Linked DNA regions of Notamacropus eugenii. The protein of the gene in region 2 interacts with the protein of the main gene of each other region in a pairwise test. Links are inferred from orthologs where the notes say so. Each region holds a gene or a part of one and is shown on either strand. Other genes may lie near its edges. The genes, in order: PLP1, CREB3L1 and TMEM11.

The links.
Region 1: the proteins of CREB3L1 (region 2) and PLP1 interact in binary tests that used the Homo sapiens proteins (3 or more experiments, as listed by UniProt). The two-hybrid records come from large-scale screens. The link is inferred for Notamacropus eugenii from reciprocal best matches to the Homo sapiens genes CREB3L1 and PLP1.
Region 3: the proteins of CREB3L1 (region 2) and TMEM11 interact in binary tests that used the Homo sapiens proteins (3 or more experiments, as listed by UniProt). The two-hybrid records come from large-scale screens. The link is inferred for Notamacropus eugenii from reciprocal best matches to the Homo sapiens genes CREB3L1 and TMEM11.

Annotation. Positions count from the first base shown.
Region 1 is NC_092879.1:92,939,381-92,943,125, reverse strand, and holds the start of PLP1 (myelin proteolipid protein), read right to left. Parts: upstream 2,876-3,745; 5' UTR 2,716-2,875; coding exon 2,712-2,715; intron 1-2,711.
Region 2 is NC_092877.1:4,550,928-4,554,672, reverse strand, and holds the start of CREB3L1 (cyclic AMP-responsive element-binding protein 3-like protein 1), read left to right. Parts: upstream 1-893; 5' UTR 894-1,383; coding exon 1,384-1,485; intron 1,486-3,287; exon of another isoform or gene 3,288-3,745.
Region 3 is NC_092874.1:378,986,106-378,989,850, reverse strand, and holds the start of TMEM11 (transmembrane protein 11, mitochondrial), read left to right. Parts: upstream 1-1,172; 5' UTR 1,173-1,856; coding exon 1,857-1,918; intron 1,919-2,402; exon of another isoform or gene 2,403-2,546; coding exon of another isoform or gene 2,547-2,569; intron 2,570-3,745. UniProt on the Homo sapiens protein: Plays a role in mitochondrial morphogenesis.

The DNA.
Region 1 (3,745 bases), on a different chromosome or scaffold from region 2:
CTAGCTTTGGTGGGGAGGAGGTCAGAGAAGGGACAAAGGGGTCTCCCAAATGCATTAGTCTGCTATCTCAGGAACAGATTGGCTAAGTAAGAACATGTTCGTTTGTTCCTCGATAATCACTCAAGTAACATCAGGGCTGCTGATGGAACCCAGTTTGTCTCCTGGTGCTGTGGGCTGTTGGACTGAGCCATGAGCTCTGTCCTTCATACTCTTCTCCTGAGCCCCCCTCCACACACACACACACACACACACACTCACACACACACACACACACACACACACACACACACACACACACCAAGCAAGCCCAAACTTCCTTCTCAGTAAACAACAGCTCTTCAAATGAAGCAGAAGATGTCTGGTTACCAGGGTAACAGCCACCATTCTCAATCTTCAGTCTTAAAGGCTAGACTCTAGGAACCAAAGTTTTGTTGCTCCAAGAGGGGTGATCAATTACCAAGAAAAGAGAATCTGGCATTGCTCTGGGTTTCTTCTGCCCTGTTGTCCATGTCCCCCACCAAAGCCAAATCATAAGGACCTGTCATTGATGCCTCCCTAATCCCAATCCCTGCAGTCTTTTCGGGAACCAGGGTAGACACTATAGCATTCTGCAATGTCATGGCTACAAGTTGGCTGGGGCCACAGCCCCGGGGGCCATCATGAGGTGGCCTCATCTCAGCGGGCTGAACTATTCTCCATCTACCCAATAGGTGGGAGCTGATGCATATGGCCTATCTCTGAGCCTAGTTCCAGTACGATTTGCCCCTTCTTTTGGCAGTACCCTCTATCTGAGGCTGTCTTGTCCTGCTGAAATCTAAAGCCAATACCTGGCTGGCAGAAAGGCATTGCATTTCAGCCTGTTCACACCCCTCCTCACCCTCATCCCTTCTTATCTGGAACCTGAGCCACTCACCACTTCACTTGTACCCTCTTCCCTGGCCCATATGGCAAGTCCTTGGTATCTCCAAGGACTGGAGCCTGGCATCCCACTGTCTCCAGAGGACATTTCCCCAGACACCTTCCTCTGGTGACCACATGTTTCTGACACTAATACCTAGAGTACTCCAAGAACTTTTTCTGGAAGGGCTCAACCACCCCAGGGAGCTGGAGCCAGCTCGGAGTCAAGCCCTCATGTGCTTGTAGAGTATAACTTTTAAGGAACTTTCCCATTCACTGCCTTGTATAAGACCACTGGTAACCCTATTAAGGGGGCAGAACAATGATTATTATCTCCATTTTCCAAGTGAGGAAACTGATGTTCAGGTATAGTGCCTAAGAATCATCAGAGCCCACATCTTAAGGTTGGCAAAGCACTTTTACACAAATGCTATCTTGAGTCTCACAACAATCCTGAGAGGGAGGTACCATTATTAGCCCCATCATACAGAAGAGACAACTAAGGCTCAGGGAAGTTAAGCGGTTTGCCCAGTGTGACAGAAGTGGGATTCAAACCTTCATCCTCCCCAAATTCAGCCGGATTTCCACTATACCACAGCATGGGGATGAAAGGGCATGCAAGCAAATTCCTTCATTTTACAGCTAGGGGAAGCCAAGCCAGAGATCTGAGGCAGTAAGGGACCTTAGAAATCAGGACATCCAAACACTTCCTTTTGTAGGAGGCCACTGAGACCCAGACAGTGACTTGACCAAGATGACACAATTAATGAGTGACAGAATTGGGGGCTCCTGACTCTTCTGCCAACCTTCTTTCTATTATACCCCACTAGCAGTACAAGGCCTGCAAAAAGATGCCTCTGTACACTGAGACAACTAGGTGGTTCAATGGATATAGCACTGGCCTGGAGTCAGGAAAACTAGAGTTCAATTCCAGCTTCAGACACTTACTAGCTGTGTGACCCTGGAAAAATCACTTTTCTTCTGCCTGCCTCAGTTTTCTTATCTGTAAAATGGGGATAATGATAACACCTATCTCCCAGGGCTGTTGTGAGGTTCAAACAAGATCATATTTGTTTACAAATATGCACTTAGCACAGTGCCTGCACATAGTAGGCACTATATAAATGTTTGGTCCCTCTTTCCATCCTTCAGAAAGGACTAGAAAGAACACAAATGGTCATCTTAGTGAGAACTTTATGTGTAGCAGAAGTCTGGGGACCAACCAGAGGGTCACTGGAGTGGAGTTCCTATAGGAAGCGATTGAGATTTTCAGGCAAAGCCTGCATTTCTACAGGAGCAAAGTACACTCTCTTGTGAAGGACACTCTAGCTGACAAATGGGCTGGGATAACTGTACCCCGAAGACCCTGCTTAGAAGGGAATGTGCCAGAGGACAGCGCCCCCAGGCTTCTACCAAGCCATGAAGAGATGACAGACAGAGCTAAGGGCCAGCTTCCAAGAGACTCTGAGCCTGGTCCCACAGAAGAGAGGGGAAGGAGAGGCCCAGCAGCCACTAAGACCTTAGAGCAATGGAGAAGGAGGAAGAGGGAGACAAATGGAGCCGGGCAAAGGGACAAAGGCCAATCTATCCTCCTTGACTGGCATTTCCTCCAGCAGGATCCTAAATGGAGAGTGATGAGGCAGCAGCACCCAGCACCCTCAGGGCCGAAAGTGAATATCCTGACCCCAGAATCACTAGAAACCCAATGCTCCAGTCCTAGAATTCAAAAGCCCCAAGGGCATCCCCAGCCTGACCCCAGCTCTGGACCAGTCCCACCTTCCAGTGTCTGTGGCTAAAGTTCTTGGCAAACTTACCCATGGCTTTGGGACTCCGGACTCCAACTAGGGTTGGCTGCTTCTCCGACTTTGGGACAGACTTGCTTCAGGGAGGAGAATCCTGGCTGCTCTCTCCTCTCCTTCCTCAGTCCTTTACTTTTTCACTCTGAATATCTTTGTCCTCTTCTCCAGCAAAGAAAAGGGCTTTCTGATTGACAGCCAATCCCCTTAAAGGGACAGGCCTCCTTTCCTCCTCCTCTTCCTCCTCCCTTCTGCCCCCTCTCCTCCCCTTCCCCCCCCCCCCTCACCGGGATACTCCCTTCTCTTAGGGCTTGCTGTGTCTTTGCTTTTCCCCCACAGCTGCCAGATTGGATTTTGTTTCCCTTTCGTTGCTGTCAGTGTGGTTTCCCACTCTTCCTCAGTAACATCAAAAATTATGGCTTGGGGGTTGCCAGAAGGGAAATGATTCTGGTAGCCAGATGGGCAAAAGGAGGGGGGATGGCACTGGGGGGAATGGAGTGGGGTGGGGTTCCAAAGATGAGATGGTCAGATGCCCTGAGACCAAGATCCAACTGAGGAATTGTTGGTTACCTTGTCCCAAATGCACAATCACTTAACAAGTAAACACCTCCTGTGTGTAAACACCTACTGTGTGCTGGGTACTGTGCCAGATGCTGGGCATATGGAGCTTGCCCTTACCCCCCAAGTTAGTGTCTCAGGGAGCCAGACAAAAAGCCAAGGAAAAAGAATGAGGAAGCCCTAGGAAGCCTCCATTAAAGGCGAGTGCTGTGCTGGGCCCTGGGGAGACAGACCCTACCCCCAAGGGGCTGACATTCCACTGTGCTTGTGTGCAGCCAAGCTTTAATCACAGGAAGAGTCAGAAAAAGGTGCTAGTAGGTGAGACTTGACCCTTGAGCTGAGACTTGAAAGGAACCAAGAATAAAAGAACTCTAAACATGGGCACAGCCTGGGCAAAGGCACAGAGGCAGGAGATAATGGAATTCTAGGTACCAGGAAGAACAAGTAAGAGTTGAGTTTGTGAGGTGGGGGCCGTGGAGGGAGGAGACAGTTCA
Region 2 (3,745 bases):
TGACTCTATGGACCATACTGTCCATGGGGTTTTCTTGGCAACGATAGTGGAGTGGTTTACCATTTCCTTCTCCGGTGGATTAAGGGAAATAGAGGTTAAGTGACTTACTCAGGGTCACAGAACTGGATGTCTGAGGTACGATTTGAACTCAGATGTTCCTGATTCCAGAACCTATCCACTGAGCCACCTACCCTACCCCTTCCCCTCGCCCCCAGGACCTAGGCTCTTGGGCAAATCTTTCCCCTTCCCTGTGCCTCAGTTTCCTTATTGTAAAATAACAGACTGATCTGAAAAACCTCTGAGGTTTTTTTTTTCCATGACTAAACCTATGATCCCATCAACTACATCTAGGACCAGCTAAAGTAGTGCTCATGAAAAGGTTTTGTTCAGTTGAACAGAATTGAAGGCCTACTATGCGCAAGGCATTTTGCTAGGCGCTGCCAGTGTTTCTATCCCGTGTGGTGAAGGAACAATGACCTGGAATTTTCTAACTCTCGGTTCCTTTCTGCTGTTATTTCCATAAAACGACTGGAACAGAAATGCCTGGCACTTGCCAATTATTGCCGGGGGAGGGAGGCTGACACAGCGACTAAAAGCCGGGGGGTCTGTGGCCACCTGCTGAAGATTCCTTAGCTGAAGGCTTACTCTCTGCCCAGGGCCTGGGACTGGTTTCCCTTGTAGTCCCACGGCGCCCGCAGTCATTAATCATTGCCCTGGTTCGGGGGCAAACATTCTGCACGCAGAGAAAAGGAACGGCAGGGTTGGTCCTCTAAGAGGCTGCCTCTTTAAAGGGACGGGTCTGGAAGAGAAGGCACGCCCCCAATCTCATTACTACTAAGGAGGCCCCTGAATATTGAGGAGGTGGGGGTGTGGCAACCAAGCCTAGCTGGCGGAGCTTGGGTTTCCCGGCTTTGGAGACAGGGAAAGTGACAGTAGAGTGCGGAGGGGAGAAACGCACCGAGGGAGCGGGAGAGGAGAAAGCTCGCTCGGCTCCCACCCAGTCCCGGGGGAGTCCGCAGCTCCCCCGTTCCCGGCTCCCGCCCAGCCCCTGGGAGGGGCGGGAGCCCCCACTTCTCTGGCCCCAGCCTCTCCTTATGGAATCTCGCTTTGCCCGGGGTGGAGGAGAGATGCCCACCGTGCGCCGGGAGCCCCGCTGCCCTGCCGGAGGCTCACGGATGCCCTGAGCCCACACTCCGGCTGCACCGCTGTCGCCGTCGCCCCCGGCCAGACGAGGCTCCAAGATCGCCGGGGGCTTGCCGGAGAGCTGCCAGCCCGAAGGCGAGCTTGGTGGCCTGGACGCCCCCAGCGCTGGACTGACTGAGCCGGGCAGCAAAGGGGGTGTTCTGCCCGCGCCACCTCCTGGGAGCCCCCGAGCCAGACACCATGGACGCCGTGTTAGAGCCCTTCCCAGCAGACAGGCTCTTCCCCGGCTCCAGTTTTCTGGACCTGGGCGATCTCAATGAGGCGGATTTCCTGAGCAATGCGGTAAGAAAGGCCAGGGGTCCGCGCCCAGCGGTCACTCGTGTCCCCAGCTGCTGAGCGCGCGCGCACAAGCACACACACACATACATACACACACACACTCACGCACACACACAAGCACACACACACGCATGCATACACACGCACACACACACATACATACACACACACACTCACGCACACACACAAGCACACACACGCGCACACACACACACACATACATACACACACGCACACACACATACACACACGCGCAGACACACACGCACACACACGCACACACCACGGAGGCAGGCAAAGGACCCAACTCTAACCCCCTGGCACGGTCTGGCGTCCCCCGGGATACAGCAGCTGCGACCCTGTGCGGGGGTCAGCCCCAGCGAGGGAGGGGCGGGAGGAGTGGGTGTAGTATTTAGATCCCGAGTGGAAGAATGAGGTGACCCAAGGAAGAGGGCTGGGGTAGGAGCGAAGCAGAACCAGAGCCCAGAGTCGCCCTCGGGGTCAGCTCGTTGGCGCTTAGCCTCCTTCCGTGACATGTCACCCACTCCAGCCCTTTGGCCGGTCATGAAGGCACGATGCTGGCAGTGGAAACAATGGCAGCCCTGGGAGGGGGCAGTTGTGCCCCTCTCCCTCACTCCCCGCCCCCCCCCTTGGAACCTGGTTTCCTTTCAAGGCCAGCTGGCCTAGAACCCGGACTCCGAGAGACTGAGATCTAACCGCTGCCCCAGCTCCAGCTCTAGCCCCCGGGTGTCTTCTGAGCTTGCATTTCTACCTAGCTCCGGGGAGTCTTCTGTAGCTTCTGAGGGAGGAGAGGGTAGAAAGTCTCTCTTGGCAATAGGGTCATTCTGACTCGAGGAAAGAAACTCGGATGATTCCCCTTTCCTCCCCCCTGTCCCTGTCCCCCCACTCCCCCTTTTTGTTCCCGAGAGCAAAGGGTGCAGTCTGATCTTGGGGGAAGATGGGAGGGGGTAGTCTGCCGAAAGCCAGAGAAAGCCTGAGCCTGGCGCCCCTTCGGGGACACAACCTGGATCGACGCCAGACCAGGCGTTCAGGAGATGTTGCCGACTCCCCACCAACCTAAGGCAAAATATCAAGAGAGACCCTCAGCAGAGAGCTCAGGGACCAGCCCTGCACTCCCCACCTTTGTAAGAATAGGTTAGCAATGGGCAGAGAAAGCTGGCATTCTCTCTTCTCTCCCCACCCCACCCCCCCAAGGAAATGTGTCCTCCCTCCAGCAGGCTCAGCCCCAAGGCCCTGATGGTGAATGGAGGGGGATGGGGGCAGGGAGTGCACTCAGTCACGGGAGAAAATATTTGGCTTTGGAGGGATCTGCCCAGTTGAAATTTCAGGACCCTGTGTGGCTTGGAGGTATGCCTGTGGTTTGGAAGTAAGTCCAGACAGGCTCCCAGCAGGTTAATTCATCCAAGGGCCAAGTTCCCCTGGGTCCTTCAGGCCACCCAGGCCTTTCTCAGGACCCAACCATCCTAGGTGCAAAGTCAGCAGTTAGACTCTGAGAACTTTGCCAGAAAAAAGCGGAGAGCTCAGTACCCCGATATGTTAGGGGTAATCTCATCCTGCACCCTCTACCACCAGGGATTGTCTCGTTACAGAAGAGAAAAGTGAGGCTGCTAATAGGGTATTGACCAGATTGTAAATGGCCTCATTAAACAGTAAGCCCTTTGAGGGTGGGGATCATGCCTTATGTATCTTTGTTAGCCTACAAAGCACCAGCATAGGTCCTCAATCAATGTTAGTGGAATGCGTGAATGCATGAATGAGTGAATGAATGAATGAATCTGCAGAGGTATGAGTGGCAGAGGACCAGCTTTTAAATCAGGGGAACTGAGTTTTAGTCTTAATTCTGTTACCATCTGTACGACCTCACTTTAAAGTCACTTTAATCTCCCTATACCTCAGTTTCTCCATCTGCAAAATGAAAGTGGAGAAGTCAAATCAGATTATTTCTAAGGCGCCTTCCATTTTCAAGTTTATGAGAGGGTCTTCTGCTCATGAGAAAAAGAGGCAAGGCAGCCTAGTCCCATACTGTAAATCAATTGACGTCTAACACAAGTCTGAGAAACACAAAGGGGATGTGTGGCCTCTCTGCTTGTGATTTATCCAAAATAATAAATCCTGGCATTTATATAGCCCTTTGAGATTTGCAAAATGCTTTTCTTATGTTATCTCGTTAAATCCTGACAATTCCCCCAAGACAGGTTCTGTTATTTCCCCCACTTTATAGATGGGAAAACTGAGGCTCAGG
Region 3 (3,745 bases), on a different chromosome or scaffold from region 2:
GGGATTAGGGAGTGGTTAAGGAGTGGTCAGTTCTTAAAGGAACATGCACTTTTGGTATCTACTGCACAGGTATTTTACCCAGAGTTCATCAGGAAATAGCCCAAGGAGGGGTGGTTTTAGACCTGAAATGTCCCTAAGTCAACTCAACAGTCAGGGCTGGCTCAGAAAGACCTGGTTGCTCTCATCAGTGTCTTGTTAGACAAGGTAAATGTAAGGGAGTATACATAGGATACAAATGATTGGTCAGGGAGTAGTAAATGTCATCATGACCCGGTGCACAGCCAGCTCAGCCCAGTGCACGGCCAGCTCCTCAGCCAGTGCACAGCCAGCTCCTCAGCCAGTGCACAGCCAGCTCCTCAGCCAGTGCACGGCCAGCTCAGCCCAGTGCACGGCCAGCTCAGCCAGCGCAGAGCCAGCTCCTCAGCCAGTGCACGGCCAGCTCCTCAGCCAGTGCACGGCCAGCTCAGCCCAGTGCACGGCCAGCTCAGCCAGCGCAGAGCCAGCTCCTCAGCCAGTGCACGGCCAGCTCAGCCCAGTGCACGGCCAGCTCAGCCAGTGCACAGCCAGCTCCTCAGCCAGTGCACAGCTGGCTCAGACTAATAAATTCTACAGGTGCAGCTGGCTACTGTATCAACAAGGGTGATGACAGTTGTTACCAGGGCAGGCTGTGTCCTGGACCCAGAAACTGCCTGGGGTAGTGCTTTGAGGCTAGGGAGAAATGGGATTTTAGAGTTGGGGCCCAAGCACCCCACCAGGTGGGTGAGCGAGGGGACCGTGTCCCCATGCCCAGACCCACGCTTGTCTCCTCCAGGGACTCCCAAGCTTTCTCTAGGGACACAACCGACCTGGTGAACCCCAGACGCATCCTTAGCACCCTGATGGAATCCCTGCTCCCCTCCTTGGATACCCCAGCACGAGCTGTGTGGCAGCGTCTGAAGCTGCAGCTCTCTCGTGGGGATGAAAGACCTCAGCTCTGCTATACTGGCTCTTTTCTCTGGAATCCAGGTTGTCGAGAGAGATGGCAGAATGGATGAAGGAGTGGAGGGAAGGGGAGATGGCCAACGTCCGGGGGAGAAGAGAGTGGAGAGACGGAGGGGGGCTGGATACGTGGAGGGAGGGCAGATGGATGAATGAATGGCGGAGGGCGGGGCGGGCGGCGGGAGGCAGCCTCCCTCCTCTCCATGACCTTAGCACGTAAAGGAGCCCGTGAAGGACAGAGCCTCGCTCGGAAAGGGCCCGCCTGGCCCGCCTCCGGGGGAGGGGGCGACGGAGAGGTCGGACCCTTAGCGGAGCCGCGGCGGGCAGGGAAGGAGCAGGAAGGGGCGGGGCGCTCGTCCCCGGTCCGCCGCTGTGAGCAGCTGCCAGGCCTAGTCTGGAGAAGGCGCCGAGGCTGCGGCGTGGAAGCAGGAGAGGCGGGAGACCGAGGGGGGCGGGGAAGGAGGAACGCCTTCCCAACAGCATTCTGGGAAGTATAGGCTCTCCCCGCGGGTCTCTTCAGCTTCTCTTTCTCGGGGCCACTGGCATGCTAACGTTTGCTGGACCTCTGCATCTGAACTCTTTGGGGGGCTCCCCTCGAGAAGGGATGACTTGGCCAAACCACACTGGATACAAGAGATACTTTTCCTCTTCTTGTCGCCTTCCTCCCTCAGGATCCAGACTACATTTCCCAGGCGACTTGCGAGAAGGCAGCTTGGAGAGGTGGCGCGGTGCACTGTGGAGGTTGTAGTTCCTATTTGATTCAGGCTTCCGCACCTCGGGCTATCCCGGTGCCGAGAGCCGGACTACATTTCCCTTCAGTCCTCCCGATTCCCCTCGGCCGCCTTGGCGGAGACATTTGCGAACGGAGTGTCTCCAAGATGGCTGCTTGGGGAAGGAGGCGCCTTGGCCCGGGCAGCAGTGGCGGCAGTGCCCGAGAGAGGTGAGCCTGGGAGAGCCGCGGTTCCTCCCGGGCCAGTGGCGGAGGGCGTGGGAAGCCAAAGGGAACCAGGCGGCGCTGCGGCGGCGGCCCTGGCGCCGGACTCTTCTCCCGCCCTCCCCTCAGTTCTTTGGGCTCCTCCTTCCCCCCGCCCGCTCGGTCCCCCTGCCTGCCCTCCGAGGGGCGCCTGGAATCTGGGCTCGAGGAGAGAAGCCGGGGGAGGGAGGGCGGAGAGGAGCGGAGCCGCGAGGGTCGGCCTGGGGCACCTCTCGCGGGGTCCGGGGAGCGCCGCCGCGGCGGGGAGGGGTGGGCGCGTCTGCAGGGAAGTGTGGTCCCAGTCCGGGCCGCGGAGAGCCCGGATCGTGCGGGAGGACCTAGGGCGAGGCGCCGGCGTCCCACCTGGGCCCGAGGGCCGGCGTGGCCGGACCCCCGCCCATCCCCCACGTGGGCGCGGAGGGGGCGCCCGGCGGGGGGCGTGCGTGTGAGTGCGTTCGCGCGCGTGAGTGCGCATGTGGGTCTGTTAGTCTGGGGGTGGGGAGGCCGGAGGAGAGCAGCCAGTAGTGACAGAAGCAGGTCAGCCGCGGGAAGGTCAGTGCGAGCGTGCACGTTTCCCGGGCCAGGCCCTTTCCAGATGTGGATCCCGCCCGGACAGAGGTGCCCGCCACCCCCCACCCCCACCCCCGGCCCGGGGTGCTCGGCCCTTGGCGGGGGCGTCCTTCCTAGTGACCTTTCCCTCCCCTCCCGGGGCTCGGGTGGGCAGGCAGAAGAAAGGTCTCTCCAGAACGATCCGGGAGGATCCTTCCTGTTCTTGGTGCTCGGGTTAATGGAGCAGTTCTGGCTCGGGGAACACTGTCAGAACTTTTTAGTTGTGTCTGTGTGTCTGTGTGTGTGTCCGTCCCCCGCCAGTCTGCTCGTCTCGTTGGGCTGACAGTTGATCTGGAAAGGAGAGGAGATATTTGGGTTGCTTTAAAGTTAGATCGGAAGAACGGGCTGGTTTGTGCTCCCTCATCACTGAAGTGGGGTTGGGGGGACAGGACGCGAAGTGTTAGGTTCTGACGTTGTTTACTGGTGCTGCTAAGATCAGGCGAAGTCATGGAGCTATTTTGATATCCAGATGGCATTAGAAATCGAAGTATTCAGATCCCCTGGACTTGGTGCCGTATGCATCAGTTTAGAAAAAGGGAATCAGTGAAAAACTGCACCCTCAGTAAATACGCGATCCTGTGTTCGGATGTCCCATCGTCTGGATTTTAAACTCTTGACTGATCCCTGGAGGTGTCGCCAAAATGTAGAAAATGGTTTGTGCCTTGGGATGATGGTCAAGAAGCTAGGGAAAAACCCATTCAAACCGATGGCTCAGTTGTAACAGAATACGGTATGCCTCCTAGAAGCAGGGCTTCTGATTTTCTGGTTTCATTTAGTGCCTTTCTCAACTCTTTCAATATAACTTGTTTTGGCTGAAGGTTACCTATTTATTTTCCTTTTAGCTAGGTTTTTGTTTGGGTAGTAGCTTGCCACATCTCAGCTTCCCTAAAGATCCACTTCCCACTCAAAAAGCAGGAGGTGGAAACATAACCCTGCCATGTAGATCCAGCTTGTCAGCTGCTTTCTGTGGCACACCTACAGATCTTGCTTGGCAGGTGGGGAGACTACTCTGAGGGCAGGGTAGATTAATTGATTACACACCACCATAAAGTATAATGGCTGCATGTTATTGGGTCTTATGACTGAAGTAGACTGTTTATGGCACTTTTAAATGACTTTGTTCCATGTCCAGTTTGCACTGATTAAAATTAAAGCTCTACATTTCTCATTCACTTTTTTTAAAAC